Linked DNA regions of Nothobranchius furzeri. The protein of the gene in region 2 purifies or fractionates together with the protein of the main gene of each other region. This does not show direct contact. Links are inferred from orthologs where the notes say so. Each region holds a gene or a part of one and is shown on either strand. Other genes may lie near its edges. The genes, in order: cherp, rbm17 and sf3a2.

The links.
Region 1: the proteins of rbm17 (region 2) and cherp purify together in Homo sapiens (co-immunoprecipitation; 4 studies listed by BioGRID and IntAct, counting the BioPlex papers as one, with this or other methods). This does not show direct contact. The link is inferred for Nothobranchius furzeri from reciprocal best matches to the Homo sapiens genes RBM17 and CHERP.
Region 3: the proteins of rbm17 (region 2) and sf3a2 purify together in Homo sapiens (affinity purification with mass spectrometry; 4 studies listed by BioGRID and IntAct, counting the BioPlex papers as one, with this or other methods). This does not show direct contact. The link is inferred for Nothobranchius furzeri from reciprocal best matches to the Homo sapiens genes RBM17 and SF3A2.

What each region holds. Positions count from the first base shown.
Region 1 is NC_091756.1:55,801,466-55,809,000, forward strand, and holds the start of cherp (calcium homeostasis endoplasmic reticulum protein), read left to right. Parts: upstream 1-3,158; 5' UTR 3,159-3,304; coding exon 3,305-3,329; intron 3,330-3,917; coding exon 3,918-4,091; intron 4,092-4,511; coding exon 4,512-4,681; intron 4,682-4,941; coding exon 4,942-5,079; intron 5,080-5,151; coding exon 5,152-5,303; intron 5,304-5,803; coding exon 5,804-5,915; intron 5,916-5,991; coding exon 5,992-6,081; intron 6,082-7,535. Other genes in the region: dohh (deoxyhypusine hydroxylase), read right to left, coding at 242-409, 791-914. UniProt on the Homo sapiens protein: Involved in calcium homeostasis, growth and proliferation.
Region 2 is NC_091741.1:60,739,326-60,745,547, reverse strand, and holds part of rbm17 (splicing factor 45), read left to right. Parts: intron 1-4,490; coding exon 4,491-4,567; intron 4,568-4,694; coding exon 4,695-4,793; intron 4,794-4,868; coding exon 4,869-4,941; intron 4,942-6,222. UniProt on the Homo sapiens protein: Splice factor that binds to the single-stranded 3'AG at the exon/intron border and promotes its utilization in the second catalytic step. Involved in the regulation of alternative splicing and the utilization of cryptic splice sites.
Region 3 is NC_091751.1:56,889,366-56,896,978, reverse strand, and holds sf3a2 (splicing factor 3A subunit 2), read right to left. Parts: upstream 3,929-7,613; 5' UTR 3,840-3,928; intron 3,101-3,839; 5' UTR 3,078-3,100; coding exon 2,880-3,077; intron 2,786-2,879; coding exon 2,739-2,785; intron 2,618-2,738; coding exon 2,508-2,617; intron 2,419-2,507; coding exon 2,369-2,418; intron 2,058-2,368; coding exon 1,917-2,057; intron 1,840-1,916; coding exon 1,771-1,839; intron 1,693-1,770; coding exon 1,441-1,692; 3' UTR 1,214-1,440; downstream 1-1,213. Other genes in the region: plekhj1 (pleckstrin homology domain-containing family J member 1), read left to right, coding at 6,286-6,379, 6,581-6,648, 6,723-6,789, 6,877-6,967, 7,591-7,613. UniProt on the Homo sapiens protein: Component of the 17S U2 SnRNP complex of the spliceosome, a large ribonucleoprotein complex that removes introns from transcribed pre-mRNAs.

The DNA.
Region 1 (7,535 bases), on a different chromosome or scaffold from region 2:
CCATTTATGGAGATCCAGCAGCAGCTTAGATGTCAAATATTAACCATCCTCCTAAATATTAAAAACTAAATAAATCAAAACAGATTATGAACTGATTCTTAAAAGGATCCTTTTCTGCTAGCAAAGAAACGGTGAAAGGTTTTCAGCAGCAGGTAGGAGTGTACTTTGTTCCAGAAATTATCGGTTTTTATTGTAACAATTAGTTTGATATTGAGTCATTTCCTTGTGTGAGGCTGTTTACCTGCTTCATGCCTGACCATTGGCTCCTGATTTGTGTCTTTGAGAACATGGGTTAAAATGGGAACGGCTCTTTTGTCCTGCATCTGTCCCAGGCAGTAGGCCAGCTCGTGCTTCAGTAAGGCTGAATCATCAGTGAAGGCCTTGCTGATCCACTCGATCGCCTCAGCACCTGACAAAAACAACCTGAATCAGTCCGGCGTGCGGTTCTTTTCCAGCTGTGTGTTGGACCCTTTGATGTTAGAGAGAAATATTCTCTCGGGTTTTGTTTCAAAGCAGTTACGGTCCCAGTAGTCTGACTGTTATGATAACATAAAAAGCAGATGATCAGTAGATGAACAGCTGACATTATGGGATGGTTGATCTAGTCACAGTCATACAGTACCAATAACAAACATACTAAGGTAGTTCTTCATCACTAGAGGAAACCTGGAACATCCAGCATGGGTCTAATGAACCAACAAGTTCTTAAATATTTTGTAGTTAGTGGTTTTATTATTCGGTTTATGTGAGAAAGCATCAACCCAAAACCAGAAACACCCAGAAGACTTACCTCCCAGATTCCTCAGGGTGAACAAGGCTCTGAAGCGCTGGGTCAGGTTCCGTGCTGGGTCCACCAGGACTCGTCCTACCGCCGCTACCTGCTCCACGGTAGCCATGCTGCAGCCCAGAAACATACAGCCGTTACTCCGCTGTTGATCACCAGTTTAAACACCTACTGGGGAAACAGGTGAAGACCATTCTGACAATCAAATAATTACTTATTCCGTAGCTCTGTCAGAAAAGCCACTGTAACTTATCACCCAGCAGCACGTTTGTGCCCACTCACGGCTAATGGGGAGAGCACACCGTCAGCCAGCAGAGGCGCCGGTATCCGGTGGAAAACTATCACGTTTACCGTCTATAATTAAACGTTTATCACAAGCGACCAAGAAACAATCACAGAGATCTGCTGACAAGTTGAAGAAGGACAGTTGTATACAGACCCCACCGTGGCCGGAGAGTCTCACAGCGAAAAACGTCAGTTCTTCTTTAGCAGCGTTTAAACACCACGCTGGTGCATTACTGCCACCTAGTGGATTGGAGTGTGAGTGGTCAGTAGTTCATCCCTACTGCGTAAAGCTACGTTTATTTTTGTGTAAAACAAAATAGTGTCGAATATAAGTTTAAGACCCCTCGAAAACGGCAATTAAAATAAACAAATAAATAAATTACTTAATAAAATAATAATAATAATAATATAATTATTATTATTATTATTATTATTATTATTGTTGATGTTGATGATGTTATTATTATTATTATTGTTGTTGTTATTGTTATTATTATTGGGGGAAAGGAATGAGGTGGATAAATGTGAATCTTTATATACATTTTTTTAAATAAAATTTACATTAAAATGATTTTGCTTTGGACAGAAGTTGTTTAGTTTTGGTTATTTTCCTTCTGATGATGACACAGTGATTTATTTAATGGATTCTATGGTTGATGTTTACTCTGAGGGGCTAAAGCTGAAGCATGACTAAAGACAGAGCACATTCACAGTTTGTAAATCGTGACAAATGTTACTGAAAGGACTCAACCAAATTCTTTTCTACTAAAACTTTATTGATTTTAACATGGTTTTTCTTTCTTCATTCAGATAATCTGTATTCATCTCAGAGCTGCAGCCGTGCATCATCCTGTATGGGAAAGAAAGTTGTTTACTTTAGTTTTCTAACCAGGCACGCTTTAAAAATGAGATGTTGGAAGAAAAGCTAAGAAAGTTGTTTTGAATGAGTTTCTGGTTGAATCTGTTCACATTGAGATAAAACCATTTTTTCTTGACTGTTTCTGAAGCTGCTCAAAGGAAACCGTTCACTGTGCACTATACCTCACTTTTTGAAATTCGTTTCTAATTGTGATTCTGGTTGTTTAAAATGAACTGATTATTTGTACATCCTGTAAATTTGTGCCAATTTCACAAATTCACATGAACCTGCAAGGAAGGAATGTGTGATTTAACAAAATCTTGTTCAACTGGTATTATTTCCAGTTTAAATTGGTTTAATTCAGAGTTTACATATCAGTTGGATACAAAGGCACAACTCTTTAATCGTGTGATTTTCTTTGACAGTCGGACATGAATCTCCTTTTGTTATCATTCTGACAAAGAAAATGACATTTATGGTGAAGAGGAGAATCCTGGAAAGTCTGCATACGTCTGTTGATGCTGATGAACCGTGTGATCTCTGTCTACCAAGCCAGGTGATGAGCATCCAGCTGTGCAGGACACCATGCGATTGTGTGGAGGCAGTACCAGTGAGTTACTGAAGACTCAAATTGTACTTAGCAGGGTTGCCAAAAATGTCTAATGTATAAATTTGTAGTTACATACTGCAGTCAGCAATGTGCACAGCAAAATCTGTCAGAAAATAATTAAAATCATCCAAGAAAATTTCTGTCTCATTCTGTTTGGTTGTTACATGAGAAATTTATTTTGGACTCATTTGGGTTCACCTCTAAATCCTATTTTCAAGTTTTCAACTTCTGATGAACTTCAGAAACCAAAACTGACTGAGGGGTGATGTTTTGTGAGAAACGGCACTCCAGATGAGTGATTACTTCAACAATAGTTTCTCCGTGAGTCGAAATTTTAAGTTTATTGTTAATTTCTAGGTATTCTTATATTTTTCATGAATCCTCAGTTTTACGATCTGCAATGGTATCTTTTTCATTCAGTATTATCTGGAAACTTTCCAGATCTGATAGCTTTGAAATGTAATTGGCTAAGGCCACAAAGCAACATGAAATTTATGAAAATCTTCAAAACCAGTTCAAAACTCCCAATATGCGGTCGTTTCCCCTCCTACACCTAGGGGGTGCTATGTGCAGTCAGACTGCAGTTTTCAGCTGGGCCCGCGCTGTTTCTACTTACAATTTCCGGTATTTTGCAGGGTCAAACGACGCCAATGTTTCTGTGAGGACAATTTGATAAAAGGCTAAAACACAAATTAAATATTAACATATTTGTGTCCGATATATATACTGGCCGGTGTTTATACACATTCTGAGTGATCATAACGTCATGGAAATCCCCAATCCGCCTGAAGGTGAGCGGAAGCCCGCTGCGTTTCTAATTTGATTCAGCGTGATGCTATTTTGCTCAGCTAACGTTAGCTTACCTTACAGTTAGCTTGAGACAGCATTTAATTGATATTATGCAATTTTTTCAGGTCCAGGTTACATTGAAGCTTTGTTATAATAAATTAGAAACATTTAGTCAGCCGTAATTACATTTCAATGTTTACGTTTTAGTGGAATTAACTTTCCTGGTTGCTAACATTTTCAGTAAAATCCCGATTAATCCAGAGAAGTGAGGTAACTGTGTGTCGAACCAAATTTGTATATCTTTTCAACCTCGTTCCTAAAGTATCCTTACACGAGAAACCAAACCTCAGTAGCAGCAGCAGAGAGGAAATAGTTTTTAATATTTTGCGCAAGTTGGTGTTTGATCCTTGGGGTTACACAGAACCGAGTCTGGGTCAGATGCCTCAGTTCTGCTTCTCCGGTTTAATGTTGGTAAAAAAATTAAGTTTAATTGTTTTTAGGATTTCAAACATAAAATATCATTTGACATTTTAGTGTAAATCATAGTTAAATCTTTGTTTGGTCTTTTTAACCCAAATTCTTCATTTCAGATCAGGAACTGAGGAATGTGATTGACAAACTTGCACAGTTTGTTGCACGAAATGGTCCGGAGTTTGAAAAGATGACGATGGAGAAACAGAAGGACAACCCCAAGTTTTCCTTTCTTTTTGGTGGAGATTACTTCAGCTACTACAAGTGCAGACTTGCAATGGAGCAACAACAACGTACGTAGTGAAAAGGACTGTCCACCAGTTTGGCAGCCACAAACATGTTCAAGCACACCGTCTCAGGCTGGACATGCAGACCACCAAGTTACAGTGTTCTTCGTGGCTTCGTTCAGTCTCATTTTAGAAAAAAGAGCCATCATGCGATTGAATTAGCTAGACATGACATTTTAGACTTTGAAGATATTTGTTTTGTTTTCAGGCGAATTTCCTTGTTTTGAGATCTTATTGTGTCATCTTAGCTGTATCTCCATGATGGGGCTGATGAAAATCCTTCATAATGATGGCCTTTTGGCAGTTTGAGCAGTTCATGGATTATCTGTGCCTGAGCTTCAGCTGCATACATTATTGAAGTTTTTGATTTAAGTCCCCCAAACCTTCTGACTTGAGTTTATGGTTCTTCCTCCTGGTGTTTTGTAGATATATTCATCCCCACTGCCAAAGATGTGGCGGACCTCCCTCCTTTGTCAATTCAGATGATTGCTCCACCTACAGTTCCTCCACCAGCTGCACCCCCTGTCGATGAGCTCATCCAACAGAGCCAGTGGAATATGCAGCAGCAGGAGCAACACCTGCACACACTAAGACAGGTGCAAAGAACAGATCCTCTTGTTTTCAAGCGACGCACAAAGATTGTAGAAGATTACTTTTATATGTCTGAGTGTCAAACAGTAGCTGGCAGATGTATCATGTTGTAAAAGAGGAAAAAGTTGTTTTTTAAAGACACCAAACACATTTCACTGGCTGTAGTACTCGTTTCAGTAGCAAACGTAACACCTGCTACATTCACAGAAACATTGCTAGAAAAGAAATTTGAAATAATATAATTAATTTATTAATTTTTCCATAGGAACAAGTAACCGCTGCCATCGCCTTGGCTATGGAGCAACAGACCCAGAAGCTTCTGCTTGAAACCCAGTTGGACATCACAGAGTTCGACAACCTGCTGCAGCCAATCATAGACACCTGCACCAAAGATGCCATCTCGGTAAGCATGTTACCACGGAGACCATGCCTTGCGTAGACTTGGACATCCCACTATTTCTCCTCTTTGACTCAGGCTGGTAAGAATTGGATGTTCACCAATGCCAAGACTCTGCAGCACTGTGAGCTGATGGCGTCGCATCTTCGGAACCGCATCACTGTTGACGACGCTCATTTTGAACTCCGCCTTCACCTCATTTACTTAACCAATGATGTTCTTCACCACTGGTAAACAAAACCTTCCTAAAACCTCACCCATCAGATGCATGATGTCATCTTGCCAACAGATGTTCTCTTCTAACTCCTTTAGCAGAAACTTCAGATTTAGTTAAAAGTCCCAGATTAATTCTCTTTGGAGTCGTTAAAACTTTAAATTCCGTTAGAAGTTTTATTTCTGCTGGTCAGCTGTTCCAAACTTGAGGAGCTTGTCGTCCGTCTCTGGTTTACAGCCTCTGCTAAATGTACTTCTGGATTTTAACATCGCTGTATGACCTCAGATGACGCATCAGAATTTTTTTTTAACGATGATTTTGGTATTGTAAAAAACATTTCTATAAATGAATAATTAAACAATTTAAAATAATTACACAATAAAAGCTGGTATACTGTGACACAAACATCAATCTTGGTTTTAAAAACAATTCATGTGTAGAACTCCGTCCTTGGTGATAAAAGTAAATATGATTTTGTTGTTTCTGTAATGTGATCTGCTTTATGTTGACTCACAGCCAGCGGAAGCAGCAGAAGGATTTATTGACAGCTCTGCAGAAGGTCGTTGTTCCCATCTACTGTACCAGCTTTCTTGCAGTAGAAGAAGAAAAGCAGCAGAAGATTACCCGGGTAACACTTCTTGGGACTTATTTTCAGATGAAAATGTCTCTTCCACAAAATGTTGAACATCATTGTTTCCTTACAGTTGTTGCAGCTATGGGAGAAGAACGGCTACTTTGATGAGGAGACCATTCAGCAGCTCCAGAATCCAGCGTTGGGCCTTGGACAGTACCAGGTGTGTAGAGAAAACACAAAGTCGGTGTAGGTAGGTAGGTAGGTAGGTAGGTAGTAGGGTTGTCACGGTATGAAAATTTAACCTCACGGTTATTGTGACCAAAATTATCACGGTTTTCGGTATTATCGCGGTATTTTTTAAACGGTGTTGCATATGTTCAGAAAGCATTGATAGTCCTGTTCTACACAAACTGAAATAGTTCTGAAAAGGTTTAACAGTATTTATTAAACCTAAAATAACACAAAGCCTTAGCAAAAGTGCAACTTTTCACAAGTAAAGGAACAAATAGCTTATTTTTCTGGAACATGTTACAGTAGTCAGTGCAGGTTTAAATTATACAAATCCAAACATTCAAAACATAAACAATATGTAAACAAATCAAAGAAACACCACTTGTTTTCTCATATACTTGTTTTCTTCATTATCAAAATGAAAATCTAAAACTCCAGTCCACACTTGACTTGAGCACTGTACAAGTCAACCTTAAAAAATATGTATTTAAAATAAATAGCCACTTTAAACAAATTACTAAAATAACTACTACACTATGTAATCAAATCCAAATGTTCAAGTATAAATGGCATTGAATAAGTAAACAAATCAATGACAAGGAACTAATTGTATATTTCTCTTCATCATCAACAAATAAGATGCTTCATCCAGCAACAGGGTGTCCGTGACACGGTTTAAATGCTGGCAGAGGACGCTGCGGCTGCAGTCTATAGTGACTCGTTGCATTCTCCCTCAACCAAAAGTCCTCACGTCATGCATTTCAGCTAAAATGCTAATGTTATCTTACCTTGCACTGGCTGTAGAGACGTGGGTGATCGTCACGCAGATGTGCCATTAGATTCGAAGTGTTGCTGCCTTCTGCAGACACTTGTTTCCTGCACGTTCTGCAAACGGGATAGCCGTCTTCTATTAACTGTCCCTCAGCATTTTTCAGAAATCCCAAATATGCCCATACTTCCGATTTAGTCTTCTTTGAGGGCTGATGGATGTCCTGGGCGCTGCCGTCGCCTCCTTCGGCCATTATTTCAGCTTCAAAGTTTTGGTGCTGTTGCAAATTAAAAAGTGCGTGTGCGCGCCGCGGGAACTTCAGCTGAAGCGACGGTGGCTGGTAAGGGTCATCGCGCCGAAACCACGGCCACGGTAAACCCACCGAGATAATTTAGTTTTTTAAAAACTGGACGGTTATTTTTATTGTCAACTTTTTTACCGGGGTTTACCGCTATACCGGTTACCGTGACAACCCTAGTAGGTAGGTAGGTAGGTAGGTAGGTAGGGAGGGAGGGAGGGAGGGAGGGAGGGAGGGAGGGAGGGAGGGAGGGAGGGAGGGAGGGAGAGAGAGAGAGAGAGAGAGAGAGAGAGAGAGAGAGAGAGAGAGAGAGAGAGAGAGAGAGAGAGAGAGAGAGAGAGAGAGAGAGAGAGAGAGAGAGAGAGAGAGAGAGAGA
Region 2 (6,222 bases):
CAATGTCCACGCGATATTGCAAAGCCACATCAGCCAACACAGCCCCACAACATCCAGAGCCTTAAGGAACTCCGGGTGGATCTCATCCACCCCTGGAGCCTTGCCACAGAGGAGCTTTTTAACCACCTCAATGACCTCAGCACCAGAGATTAGAGATGCCAACCCAAAGTCCCCAGACTCTGCTTCCTCACTGGAAGACGTGTTGGTGGGATTGAGGAGGTCTTCGAAGTATTCTGCCCACTGATCCACAACGTCCCGAGTAGAGGTCAGCAGCACACGTCCCCCCTATAGATAGTGTTGGTAGCACACTGCTTTCCCCCCTTAGGCGCCGGATAGTGGACCAGAATATCCTCAAAGCTGTATGGAAGTCTTGCTCCATGGTCTCACCGAGCTCTTCCCATGCCTGGATTTTTGCCTTGGCGACCATCCGAGCCGAGTTCCGCTTGGACTGCCGGTATTAGGGCTGCAACAAAGAATCGATAAATTCGATGAAAATCGATTACTAAAAGCGTTGGCAACGAATTGCGTCATCGATTTGTTGTGTCGCACAACTCTTCCAAAAGCGCCCCCCCTTCCCGCCCGCCGTTGCGCGCAGAGCAGAGCAAGTCAGATCAGCGCGAGGGAGAGCCGCAGATCAGCGCGAGGGAGAGCCGCAGATCAGCGCGAGGGAGAGCCGCAGATCAGCGCGAGGGAGAGCCGCAGATCAGCGCAAGGGAGAGCCGGCAGATCAGCGCGAGGGAGAGCCGGCAGACTTGCGCTGCTGCGAACCGGTTCCGCATTGTTGCACAGCGATCCAGGCAGCTGCTTCCAGCGCACGGTCCATTCTCAAAGTGGCGCAACCACAAAACTATAATTAGCACACGATCGTTCATGTCCGCACATGTTCTCTATTTTCTGTCTTATTTGTGCCTGAAGCTCGCTACTGCGGAGCTCATCACCTGTGCTGTGGTGATGTCACCTCACTGACGCAGCATCGAAAACGCGCTCTGCGCTTTTCGGTCAGGAGATCCCTTTGATCTGCTCAAAAGTAACTGATGAGGTGAAAAGGTAAGAATCCAGGCAACAGATTTTCTGGAGAATTAAGAGGAGATGCAGGAAGATGAGAGACAGACAGGACAGGAAAATAGTTCAATAAAAACAAGAAAACAAACAAAGTGTTGAAAAGTAAAATGTAGGTAGATTTATCTCCACTACACGTTTTTACCAGTAAAAAGCAATAAGTTCTACACATGTCATATTTATACATCTGATACAATTCAGATCACCTTCAAAACTCAGTCACACACCCAGGGCCGTTTCAAGACATTTTGGGGGCCAAGGCAAAATCCCCCCCCCCCCCCCCCCCAATAACTGGGCTCCCCAGAAGCCTCTGTGTAATTCATGCCCTCTCCAGTAGTGTTAGTTATACGGTGTTTATAAAAGCCCCTCAGACATTACTGACATGTTCTAATATTATCAGATGAAAAACTAAATTATCAGACATGCTGTCTCCTCTGCTTCTTTTATAAACTTGTAAAAAGTAACAAAACCATTTGAAAGCCACTATTTGTGGATTCTCTGAAAGTGTCCATGGAGTGTGTGACAACTTATTTTTTCATTGATCATATCGTCTAATCTCACAGCTGAAACAAGCATCCTTAATAATCTGTGCACAGGAAGCTTACCGATGCTGTAGTAAAACAAAAGGTATAATAATTTATTATTAATAAAACCTTGTTGCAGCACTAAAGCAGAAAAATTAGATTTTGCATTAAATACGCAAAATATTTACATATGAATTGTTTTAGAGCCCTTTAATTGGCAGAATCTGATATTAATTTAGTTCTTACAAAAAATGGGTCCCAACATGGTTTGTGTGGCGTTGCCATAGTGTGACGTTATAGGCACAGATCCCCTGTCCTCTTGTTTGGAAATGGAAATATGGTCACCCTAATTAAACAAACTGTCCACCCGGGCTTTTGCACTGCACAGAGACGCTTCGCTGCCTACGACTGAACGTCAGTTGAGAGTCAGTCTCATGCAGACTGACCGATGAAGAGAGGGCCTCAAGTTAAGACCCTCTCCTCATTGGTCAGTCCACACGAGGTGGGTCAAAGGTTACTCTGGGCGGGTTACGTGTTGTCAGGCATTCAAGTATTGAGTATATTTACTGCATATTACAGTAAAATATTCTGTATGTGACCACATTATGGTGTTCCTTGGGTCGTGATGATGGAGCCCTTGAATATTGTTGCCCAGGGTACAACAAAGTGTTAATCTGGCCCTGGTTCCGCCGTCACATTCCCGCAGAAACTGGTTGATCACACCGGGGCCAGACTACTAGCATGTGGTTTTACAACCACAATGTCCTCAGAAGCAAAAACGCTTTTAAAAGGGAGGGAGGAGTCCTAACTGTTGCTGCAGGCGTGTTGTGTGAGAGTGCAGTTATATACTGGTTAATATATTTTTGGGTTCAGTTGCTTTCATGTGGCCTAATGTGAGTCTATTTGGGATCATTGGAATGATCAGCAGCATTTCTTGGTGTGACTTTATGGCAGTTGCCCAGGGCATCATCACAAGGAGGATGGCATTCATTTACTTTTGTTTTATTTGGTATTTTTTCAGTCATTTTTGGAAATAGTGATCAATTTTGATTAATTCACAGCCTATGTTTAATTACATTTAAAATAAATGTCAACAGATGAGATCAAACAAAACAGATGAGAATTGCCCTTAAGCTGTTTAACTTGGACCAAGCATTTTAGGTCACAGATAGATGTAGCTTAGGGTCTCTGTCTATACACCTTATAAGACAATTTAGGTGATGGCATGTTGTTTTTCTGCTATTGAACTGTTTTCTAATAATGTTGTGTTAAATAAAGTGAAGGAAGGAGAGAAATAACGTTTCCCTAGCAGTTTTTAAAAATTTCCCCATGTAATCCGATTAATCGTGTCGAGACCCCATCCGATTAATCGATTATCCAAATAATCGTTTGTTGCAGCCCTAGCCGGTATCTGTCAGCTGCCTCTGGAGTCCCACAGGCCAGAAATACCTGATAGGACTCTTTCTTCAGCTTGACAGCATCCCTAACTGCCGGTGTCCACCAGCGGGTTCGGGAGTTGCCACCACGACAGGCACCGATGATCCTTCGACCACAGCTCCGGTCGGCCGCCTCAACAGTGGAGGCTGATGCCCAGCCAAGGTGTGGGGGGCATCCATTTTGGTGGCCTGAGGATCAGGTCTCTGCTTTTTGCAGATGATGTGGTCCTGTTGGCTTCATCAGAACGTGATCTTCAGCTTTCGCTGGAGCGGTTCACAGCCGAGTGTGAAGCAGCTGGGATGAGAATCAGCTCCTCTAAATCTGAGACCATAGTCTTGATTCCGAAAAGGGTAGAATGCCTTCTCTGGGTCAGGGATGAGGTCCTGCCCCAAGTGGAGGAGTTTAAGTATTTCAGGGTCTTGTTCACGAGTGAGGGAAAACTGGAGCGTGAGATCGATAGACGGATTGGTGCTGCATCTGCAGTGATGCGGGCGTTGTACCGGTCTGTCGTGGTGAAGAGAGAGCTGAGTCGGAAGGCGAAGCTCTCGATTTACCGGTCGATCAACATTCCTACCCTCACCTATGGTCATGAGTTTTGGGTAGTGACCGAAAGAACGAGAACGCGGATACAAGCGGCCGAAATGAGTTTTCTCTGAAGAGTGGCTGGGCTCTCCCTTAGAGATAGGGTGAGAAGCTCGGTCATCTGGGAGGGGCTCGGAGTAGACCCGCTGTTCCTCCACATCGAGAGGAGCCAGTTAAGGGTGGCTCGGGCATCTGGTCAGGATGCCTCCTGGACGCCTCCCTGGTGAGGTTTTCTGGGCACGTCCAACCGGGAAGAGACCTAAATGTAGACCCAGGACACGGTGGAGGGACTATGTCTCTCACCTGGCCAGGGAACGCCTTGGGATTCTCCCGGAAGTGCTGGCCCAATTGGCTGGGGAGAGGGAAGTCTGGGCCTCTCGCCTTCGTGACCCAACTCCGGATAAGCGTATGGATGGATGGATGGATGGATGGATATATATATATATATATATATATATATATATATATATATATATATATATATAATACAGAGAAGGCTCCTTTAACAGAAAGTGGAAATGGAGATAACACATGAATGGTTGCTGTTACTAAACTATTGACATTATTCTTTCATACTCTTGGTTTTTATTTGTATATTTGAACAAGACATTTGTACCATTTTCCAACAGATTTCCTGGAAGATTAACAGCATTTTTGTTCCTGAATGACCCATTTAGAGCCAGTCGTGCTTAACACAATAAAACCACCGCTTTATCCTGACGTTAACGGCTAAAATAAATGGGAAAAGTACACAAGACACTGAATGGTTTCATTTATCGCATGTTCTAGGTTAACCTTTTGTTCCACACATTCTCCAGCATACCTGCAGCCTGTAAATATTGTTTTGCGAATGAAAAAATGTGACTAATGTTTGTTTTTACCGATCAGTGGATCCTTCCAAGAAGTCAGATGCCAATCCACTCACTGAGATCCTGAAAAACCCAACTAAAGTGGTTCTGTTGAGGGTATGTCTTTGTTACACCATCATTAATTTCTCAAGCATGGTTGGAATTAACCTCTGCTGAAAGAAAACCAGAGTCAAAGCAGTTTGAAGTTAGATAATAAAGTTATTTTCCCCCGTTTATTATGTAGAACATGGTGGGTCGGGGAGAAGTGGACGAAGACTTGGAGGGAGAGACAAAAGAAGAGTGTGAAAAATATGGCAAAGTTGTTAAATGTGTCATTTTTGAGGTAAGAAGAATGAAGATCAAGTAGATGGAGGTAAAGTGATCAGATGAGACAGAGAAAGATGTTTTTTCTCCTCAGATCGCAGAAGTGCTAGATGATGAAGCCGTCAGGATATTTCTGGAGTTTGAGCGGGTCGAGTCGGCCATCAAAGGTCAGTGTTCACCGTCACATATAAGAGATCAACTTTACATAATTGCTTCACTTTCTTCCCATGATTGTGTAGCTGCTCTAATAATGTGGGTGAAAGTGTGTCCCTCTCTAAATGAGTTGGCCCAGATCTGAAACAAGGGGAGACTCGGTTCCCTGTGGTGTTATGTCATATGTGGCCTAGCAACCCAGTCGTCTCCCCACGGCACCAACAGAACCGGTCTTACATCACAGCTTACTGAAAGCAGGGCGCACCGTTAAAGAACCTGTCATGCTACAAGATTGGTTTTGTCAACAAAAAGGGTTACTAAGTGGAGAAATCTCTTAATGCATGCTAGGATCATGGCGGTAATAGAATCTTCAACTTATTTTACCACTTGGTTCTTTTGTTTTCATTCCCCACTTAAGTCTCAGGTTTATTCCTTCTGTCTAGTCTAACCCACGCTTACAGTTCAGTTTGTATTATTGTCATCGGTTATCAAAGCTGAGGTCAGGTCCCCACTAGGGGTCATGAAACACAGGATTGGGGATGGGTACCGAGATGATCTGACATCGAATGACCCTAAAATCACTGCCGATGGCGTATTTAGCCTTAATGTTAGTCAGTAGAACAGAGAAGTGTAATTGTTGACAAGTCTTTTGTTAAACTACTTTTCATGTGTTTGTAGATTTAATCCAGTAATAATTGGGTCCTGGATCTTTATGGCTATGTTTTATCGTCTTCGTCTTCATCTTCCTCCGCTTATCCGGGTCCGGGTCGCGGGGGCAGCATCCCAATTAGGGAGCTCCAGGCCGTCCTCTCCCCGGCCTTGTCCACCAGCTCCTCCGGCAGGACCCCAAGGCGTTCCCGGACCAGATTGGAGATGTAACCTCTCCAACGTGTCCTGGGTCGACCCGGGGGCCTTCTGCCGGCAGGACATGCCCGAAACACCTCCCCGGGGAGGCGTCCAGGAGGCATCCTGACCAGATGCCCAAACCACCTCAACTGGCTCCTTTCGATCCGGAGGAGCAGCGGTTCTACTCCGAGTCCCTCCCGAATGTCCGAGCTCCTCACCCTATCTCTAAGGCTGAGCCCGGCCACCCTACGGAGGAAACTCATTTTGGCCGCTTGTATCCGCGATCTCGTTCTTTCGGTCATTACCCAAAGCTCATGACCATAGGTGAGGATTGGGACGTAGATCGACCGGTAAATCGAGAGCCTGGCTTTCTGGCTCAGCTCCCTCTTCCCCACGACAGATCGGCTCAGCGTCCGCATGACTGCAGACGCCGAACCAATCCGCCTGTC
Region 3 (7,613 bases), on a different chromosome or scaffold from region 2:
TTTCACGAACACCACCACTCTTTGGCTTCCAGGCTAGCCTTTGGGTGTATTTTATGTCCAACAGAATCCCTGCTCACAGCCGCAAATTCCGCTTCTTCCTTCCCCCGGTCCGCTGATGCCTGTCAGCTGACCCGCCGTCTTTACGAACGACTGTTCCGTTGTGACAGGAAAAGGCGTGGCTGGTGCGATGTGTAAACCGCACCCAGGCCTTGAAATGATAAGCCACGCAGGCTAATATTCGTTAATTGTCTGGTATTTTACAATTATATAGGTCAGCCTCCTTTACAAAAAATATATCAGAACATGTCAAAATATATTGACAAAATATGAGGTACGGACGCTGTCAGAATAAAAAAAAACGTAGTCAGGTTAAACTGTGCGCATATTGTTAAATAGATGTGCCTAACTAGAAACATAATTTCATCCCCCACTTGTGATTAAATGGGGCAAATGCTGTAAACGACTCTAGAGCGCCCCCCGTTGGTTACTCGTGTAAGGCAGAAAATCTACTGCAAACATGAGCTACAAAAATCGTGATTAACGATTCTTACAAATAGATTGTATGAAACATTATACAAATTCTGCTAAATACATAAACATAAATTCAGTTTGTCACATCTCCGAGGTGAAATGCCCAAACAAAGGCTCCAAACTGGGCCAGTGGCAGCGAAGGGTAAGGCGAACACTTTTGCAATGCCATGGAGCATCTTCGAAAGTCTTCTGCCAGAGAAAGCAATGCTGATGGATATCTTCAGAGGTCTTCATTGCAGCAGACTGGAGTGTCCACAGACACAGGACAAAGAAACTCTTGAATGATATTTGGCGTGGAGCACATCAAATTTTTTTGAGAATGTTCTCTAATCCATAGTTTGTGATTACCAACAGTCCTCAAAAGGTTTCCAATTGGGGTCATGGTCACCCCTGGAAACTTGGGTCACAAAAAAATAAAACATCTGTGTGTTCAGCAGAAGTTCATAAAATTAAAACATTTTATTTTAAAAAGATTTTATGAGTACATACACTGAATACATAGTCTGAATAATTGATACCAAAATGAAAACTGCTGTTAAAATATAATTCAAACTGATTTAGGCAGTGTTGAAGATCAATTTAAATACAGAAAAATCAATTTTGTTGATTTGTTTTATTTTAACCTGATCAGAGTAAACTTCAGATAATTCTCTGTATTTTTTGTAGAACAAACACTCAGGTATTTTCAGTATTTGTGTATTTTAATTAAAAAATGGACATAAGAAATAAAAATGTGTCCAGATATTAGTTTACAAGAGGACGATAATGTTTCCATAACATTTAGCTTTAGAATTTTATTTTTAGGCAAACAAAGTTATGAAAATCTACTGAAGATATCCAACATCCTAAAAATACAAAACAGGCAGAGCAGAACAACTGACCACCAATGCAATTTCTAACAGCAAATTATCACTGCATAAGGCCCTCTGGGGGAGGTGGCCTCATTGGCATGGGGGGCATGGGCATTTGTGGGGGCATTTGGGGGGGACCTGGTGCCCCGGGTGGCAGAGGAGGAACAGACATCCCTCCTGGTGGTGGAGGTGGAAGACCGTCGTTTGATGGGTGGCCACTCATAAGTGAAGCGGGGTGCTTTAAGTTGCCAGGAGGAGCTGGACCACCAGAAATGGCTTTCTCCATTTTAAAGTGGAACTGCAGGAAAAACTGAACGAAAACAAAACATTCATACATTAGAAAATTTTTTAAATTAGTTTTTTAGTAAAAACAAAGCAGAGTCAGTACCTGTTTAGTTTCCCTGTTCCAGTGAGTCCAGAAGCGGTTTTCTGCTTTATCAATTTCCCTGCTGGGGACCTTAAAGGAGCAAACATTTTAATGTTACGGAAATGTGACACATGAGCACAATGACAAAAATTACAGTTTTCATCCACCTTAAAGGAAATAGTTTCATATGGTTCAGCAGCAAACAGCAGGTACTGCCAGCGACGGTCAGGAGGCTCGATACGCTGCTCATAAGCAGACATGAAACGGTGCCTGGGTCCAATTCCTTCAGCAACCTCTGGATAGTCGATCTGATTAATATGGGAAATAAAAACAACTTGTCAGATGTTGTAACATCTGGTTATTATTGCCCTGATAGGAACTATAGGAGTTTGTTTTGTATCTGCAACGCATCTTCAAGTGGTGTCCACAATGGGGTCATACAATGGGAGCAAAACTGTTATATTGGGCTGGAAAATAATTAAAGTGGAGCTAAACATATGATGGCATTTAACTTTGGTTTCACACGAACAATAAAGCATAAAGCCTATTATCAAGTGTCTCAGATTCCCAGAAACACAGCAGGATTTTTCCAGAATTAAAATATATTTTTTATTTTCACCTGAAAAAGTAAAGACTGCTGACCAGTCTCTGGGTCCCTCTGTTTTGTCACTGTGAAAAAAAGAGAAAGACGAGGATCAAAAGTTGTTACAAAAAGCCAAATAATGTTGATCTAATATAGAACCATGCAGCCAGTGTACCTTTGTATCCTGGTCGACCGATTTTGACAAACTTCTTGACCTCAACTTTAACCTTTGCTGGAGCTGGTTGAGCCGGCGCTTCTTTTGCCTCTTTGGCTGCTCTTCGTGCTCTAAAACACCAAATAGAAAAGATTTAACTCAGAAAGAAAAAATTATACAGGAAAATGTTTACTGACAAATATTGAACTAGTAGCAATTAATTGTGTTAGAGAATGTTTTAGGTTGACTTACAAATTGGTCTGATGCTTCTTTCCCTGTGTGTGAGCCAAGTAGCTGCCCTAAAATCAAGTAGAGGGTTTTCTTTAGAAACACAATTCCCAAATATCAAAAATTCTAACATAGCCCAATCCAATCCGTTAAGTGCCTCCTCACCTCATTGTTGTGAAGTGTCAAACAAAGTTTGCATTCATAAGAACCTAAATGATTCTTCATAAAATAGGGGTCCTTGTTGATGTCGATGGTCTCTAGAGCCAGCTGACGTAACCGTTCACGCCTGTCCCGGTTACTCTCAGAGGCAGACGCCACCCCTCCACTTCCAGTCTTCCCTCCAGCTCGATGCTGGAAATCCATTTTTTTGAAGTGATGAACTCAGTCTAAAGACAACATAAACATATAGCATCAAAGGGACAGACCAAACATAATGTATCGTGTATTTCTTCAAATAAACACAAAACAAAAAACAGAAAAAGCCAGTTCAGTTAAAACTGAACCCCTGGTGTTTTATTTTTACCATCCCTATAAAACTGAGAAACATATGCTATTTCAAATGTAGAAAACATTCACAACTATAAGTACTGTACAAAGCAGTATGCACGTAGTAACACTATCATAAATATAAATTCAACAACTTTCATATAATTGCTGATAAAATGGTAACGCTATGTGTTACAGCAGCCAGAATGAATATCTGAGCGGCACAGTTCCTTAAATGTAGTATTAATAGTGAACATTAGTCAGGACTGTATATGTATGTATGCGTGTATGTGTTAAATCTATAACTCAAATCATAAAGACTTTCTTCCCGACACCCCTTTCATCAATTTATCAATTTGTCATGATTCTAGGTTGAAACGTCTTAATTTTTAATAACATAACTAGAAAATCCCTATATTGAACTATCCTTTCGCGCACATTTTACTGTTAGCATTTAGCATCGATGGACGTCGTTCTGACAATGCTAACAGTGCTACCATATATGCAAGGATAGTTTTAAACCTACCAAAATGAACAAACTATCAGAATGAAATTAAATATAGCCTAATCAATGTTTTAGCGTTACTGCTCAGCGAACTGCACAACAAAATACTAGCTAAATATTATAAATAAACTTACGTTCTCCCAAACAAATCTAACGACAAACTGTGATGGACAGAATTGTTTTGCGCATGCGTGTTGGTTCTCAGCTTAAGCAGTTCATAAATAGTTTCAAACATTCATTGCCATCTAGTGGTCAGGAGTAAAACTGACCGACGAACAAACGTTTGCGGATAAAAGCATATAATAAAGACCTAAGAGATTAGTTTATTTAGGAGTAAAGGGCTACATTTAAAATGTGAAAAATAAATTAAAAAAACGATATGAAACATTTGCATTTTTGTTTATTTATTTAATATGTTCTCTTTAATTTTGGATCAATTGTTTGTATTATTTCTTTTGCTATGGTTTTGTTTCCCAACTTTTATTGATTTTGTTGCTTTCACTTTTAGGGTCTGGATTTAAACTAATTGTAGATTTAGACAAGGTGTTGGACCGCATCTCTCGGGGGACCCTGTGGGGGTACTTTGGGAGTATGGGGTACCAGGCCCTCTGATAGGGGCTGTAAGGTCCCTATATGACTGGTGTCAGTGCTTGGTCCGCATTGCCAGCAGTAGGCCGGGTTCGTTTCCGGTGAGAGGTTGACTCTGCCAAGGCTGCCCTTTGTCACCAATTCTATTCATAACTTTTATGGAGAATTTCGAGGCACAGCCAAAGTGTTGAAGGCATTCATTTTGGTGGCCTAAGGATGGGGTCTCTGCTTTTTGCAGATGACATGGTCCTGATGGCTTCATCAGAACGTGATCTCCGTCTCTCACTGGAGCAGTTCACAAACGAATGTGAAGCAGCTGGGATGAGCATCAGCTCCTCTAAATCCGAGACTATGGTCCTGAGTCAGAAAAGGGTAGAATGCCTTCTCTGGGTCCAGGGATGAGATCCTGCCCCAAGTGGAGGAGTTTATACATCTCAGGGTCTTGTTCACGAGTGAGGGAAAGATGGCGAGTGAGATTTACAGGTGGGATGAGATCGTGTCTGCAGTAATGCGGACGTTGTACCGATCTGTCGTAGTGAAGAGAGAGCTGAGCCAGAAGGCGAAGCTCTCGATTTACCGGCCGATCTATGTTCCTACCCTCACCTTTAGTCATGAGCTTTGGGTAGTGACCAAAAGAACGAGATTGCAGATACAAGAAGCCAAAATTAGTTTTCTCTGCAGGGTTTCTGGGCTCTCACTTAGAGATAGGGTGAGAAGTTCAGTCATCCGGAGGGGCTCGGTGTAGAGGAGCCAGTTGAGGTGGCTCAGGCATCTGATTAGGATGCCTCCTAGATGCCTCCATGGTGAGGTTTTCTGAGCATGTCCAACCTGGAGGAGACCTAAAGAAGACCCAGGACATGTTGGAGGGACTATGTCACACGAATGGCAAGGGAACGCCTTGGGATTCCCCTGGAGGAGCTGGCCCAACCTGGGGAGGGCCTCTTAGCTTAGGCTGCTGCCCCCACAAGCTGACTCCATATAAGCAGAAGAAAACAGATGGATGCTTTTGCTTTGTCAATTTTGCTAAACCCATTTTTCACTACACTTAGCTCTCATGGAGCACGAGCTTTGAATTTGATGAGCTAGTATCAGCAGTTTAAACAGGCATAAAACCAACCAGTTCAACATTTGGTGTTATTCCAGTTATTTAATTTAACAAGGAATCTTTTCAATACTCTTTTCTCCCAATCATGGATTTTTAAATCAATGTGCTTCATTTTAAGTCTTGCAATATTATTTTGCGAATCAATTTTTATACTGCAACGTTTTGTCGTGGCATAGTAGTACTTTTCAGTTAAGAAAAAGAAGAACATAACCTGAACAGAGTGATGTTTGATTTTTTTCTAAAATGTAATAATTATTTTCATTTTAAAATACTTCAGGAAATATTTTGCTATATGTGCCACGGTTTAACAAAAGAAAATAGTAAGTCCTGTAAGAAAATAAAGTAATTTATAATTCAATGTTTATAAAACAATAGGAAAAACTAGAAAAATTATTTTGTAGTTGCAGGGCACGGGACAAAAACTACCTCAAGTAATGAGTAAATGTTTATTGTTCAGTCAGAAGCACTCAAACATATATTTAATGTATTTGAGGAACATAAAGTTTTAATATTAATCAGTGAACGTTTATAAAGTTATCTATCCAGACATCATGCAACTCCTCGCTCTTACGAGCCATTTAAGCGTTAGCCCACTAGGTGGCGAAAGCGTATTTCTATTTGGTTTAACAAGCACCGTTAAACTCTCCACTAGAAGAAGAACCGATCAGCGTTTCCTGTTTGTTTAGCAGATGCCGTTCACTTGACTTTACTTCACCCTGGAAATAACCAAACACTCTCCATCACGTTTTCAGGACATCGGATAAAGAATCAGAATAAGTCGACATGATAAACAACGAAACTACTGCATTTATATTATTATTTTAACTCTATTTGAAATGTTTTGGTCGTAGAGACTAGCAAAGGTGTCCCCCCTCCCATTTTACGCGATGCGTTTCAACGAGAGGGAGCTGGTCTCTCTGAGCCGCCAGCCTTCAGAGATGGCCGCTGAAATGGGAATGCGAGGTCCGAAGAAAGGAGACGGTAAGACCTGTTACTTTCTCCGTCACTTTTCACTTCCGCTTGGTGTTATTTTGGGTCATATCGGTGAAACTGATCATCTCTCTCTCTCTCTCTCTCTCTCTCTCTCTCTCTCTCTCTCTCTCTCTCTCTCTCTCTCTCTCTCTCTCTCTCTCTCTCTCTCTCTGTGTGTGTACGTGTACGCGCGTGCGTGTGTGTTTTCAGTTGTCAAGAGGCGGCTGGTGAAACTCGTAGTTAACTTCCTTTTTTACTTCCGGACAGATGAGGAGGAGGTTAGATGAGTTTTTTTTCTCTGTCCCTGATGATGAGCTGTAACATTTTAATGAGTTCAGTGTTTATTTTTCAGCCAATTGGAGCCTTGTTGTTGGAGCAGTGCCGGGTGGAGAAAGAGGACAGTCAGACCTTCTCTATTAGTGAGCCCCAGACTCCCTTTCTGTGTTGATTTCTTACAGGCTGATTGGCGGTGACATTTTGTTAATGTTGTGTTTGTCTCTCTGTAGCATTTCTAGATGAAACTGAGAAAAAATACGTGTTTGAGTGCAACTCCGAGGAGCAATGTAAGGAGTGGATAGACTCTATTATTAAAGCAAGGTAAAACAGACTTTTTAATTTTCCTTTTTGCTGTGATCTGCTGTTTAAAGAGCAAGTCACCCCCTACCAAAGTATTACTCCACTCCCACTTCCTGTTTGGTCAAATGCAACAAATGCTGTTGCCTAGCAGACTGAGAGGGCGGGGCCACTAACAAATCCACACACACACGCACACGCACACACACACAGGCTCACAACGACATTGTGACATCATATGGTACCAGCTAACGTTTTAAGGTACCTCTTAGCCAATAGGGATGGCAGATTTAAATTCAAATGCAGTGCTGAGTTTTTACCTGACAATGGCACAACACTGACAGTTTTAGGCAGAAAATTAAAATTTTAAATAAAGTGCTAAACTATTGACTACACGTGTCTGCAGCACAATTAAACGCACATTTAGTTTATCAGAAAAAATAAGTTGATTTGGGAGTGACTTGCTCTTTAAGATCAGTCCAGACTTATCTGACCTCAAGTGTACAGAGTAAAATACAGTTAGATGTTCACACTGTTGTTTTACACGTATTTTAAGTTAGGATCAACAGTCGTCTGTGAACTTATTATATAATATTGGTTCTTAAACCAAAAAAACTGTTTAATGTATCTTGTCTATACTCTTGCAGTTATGAGTTTATGAGGAGGAATC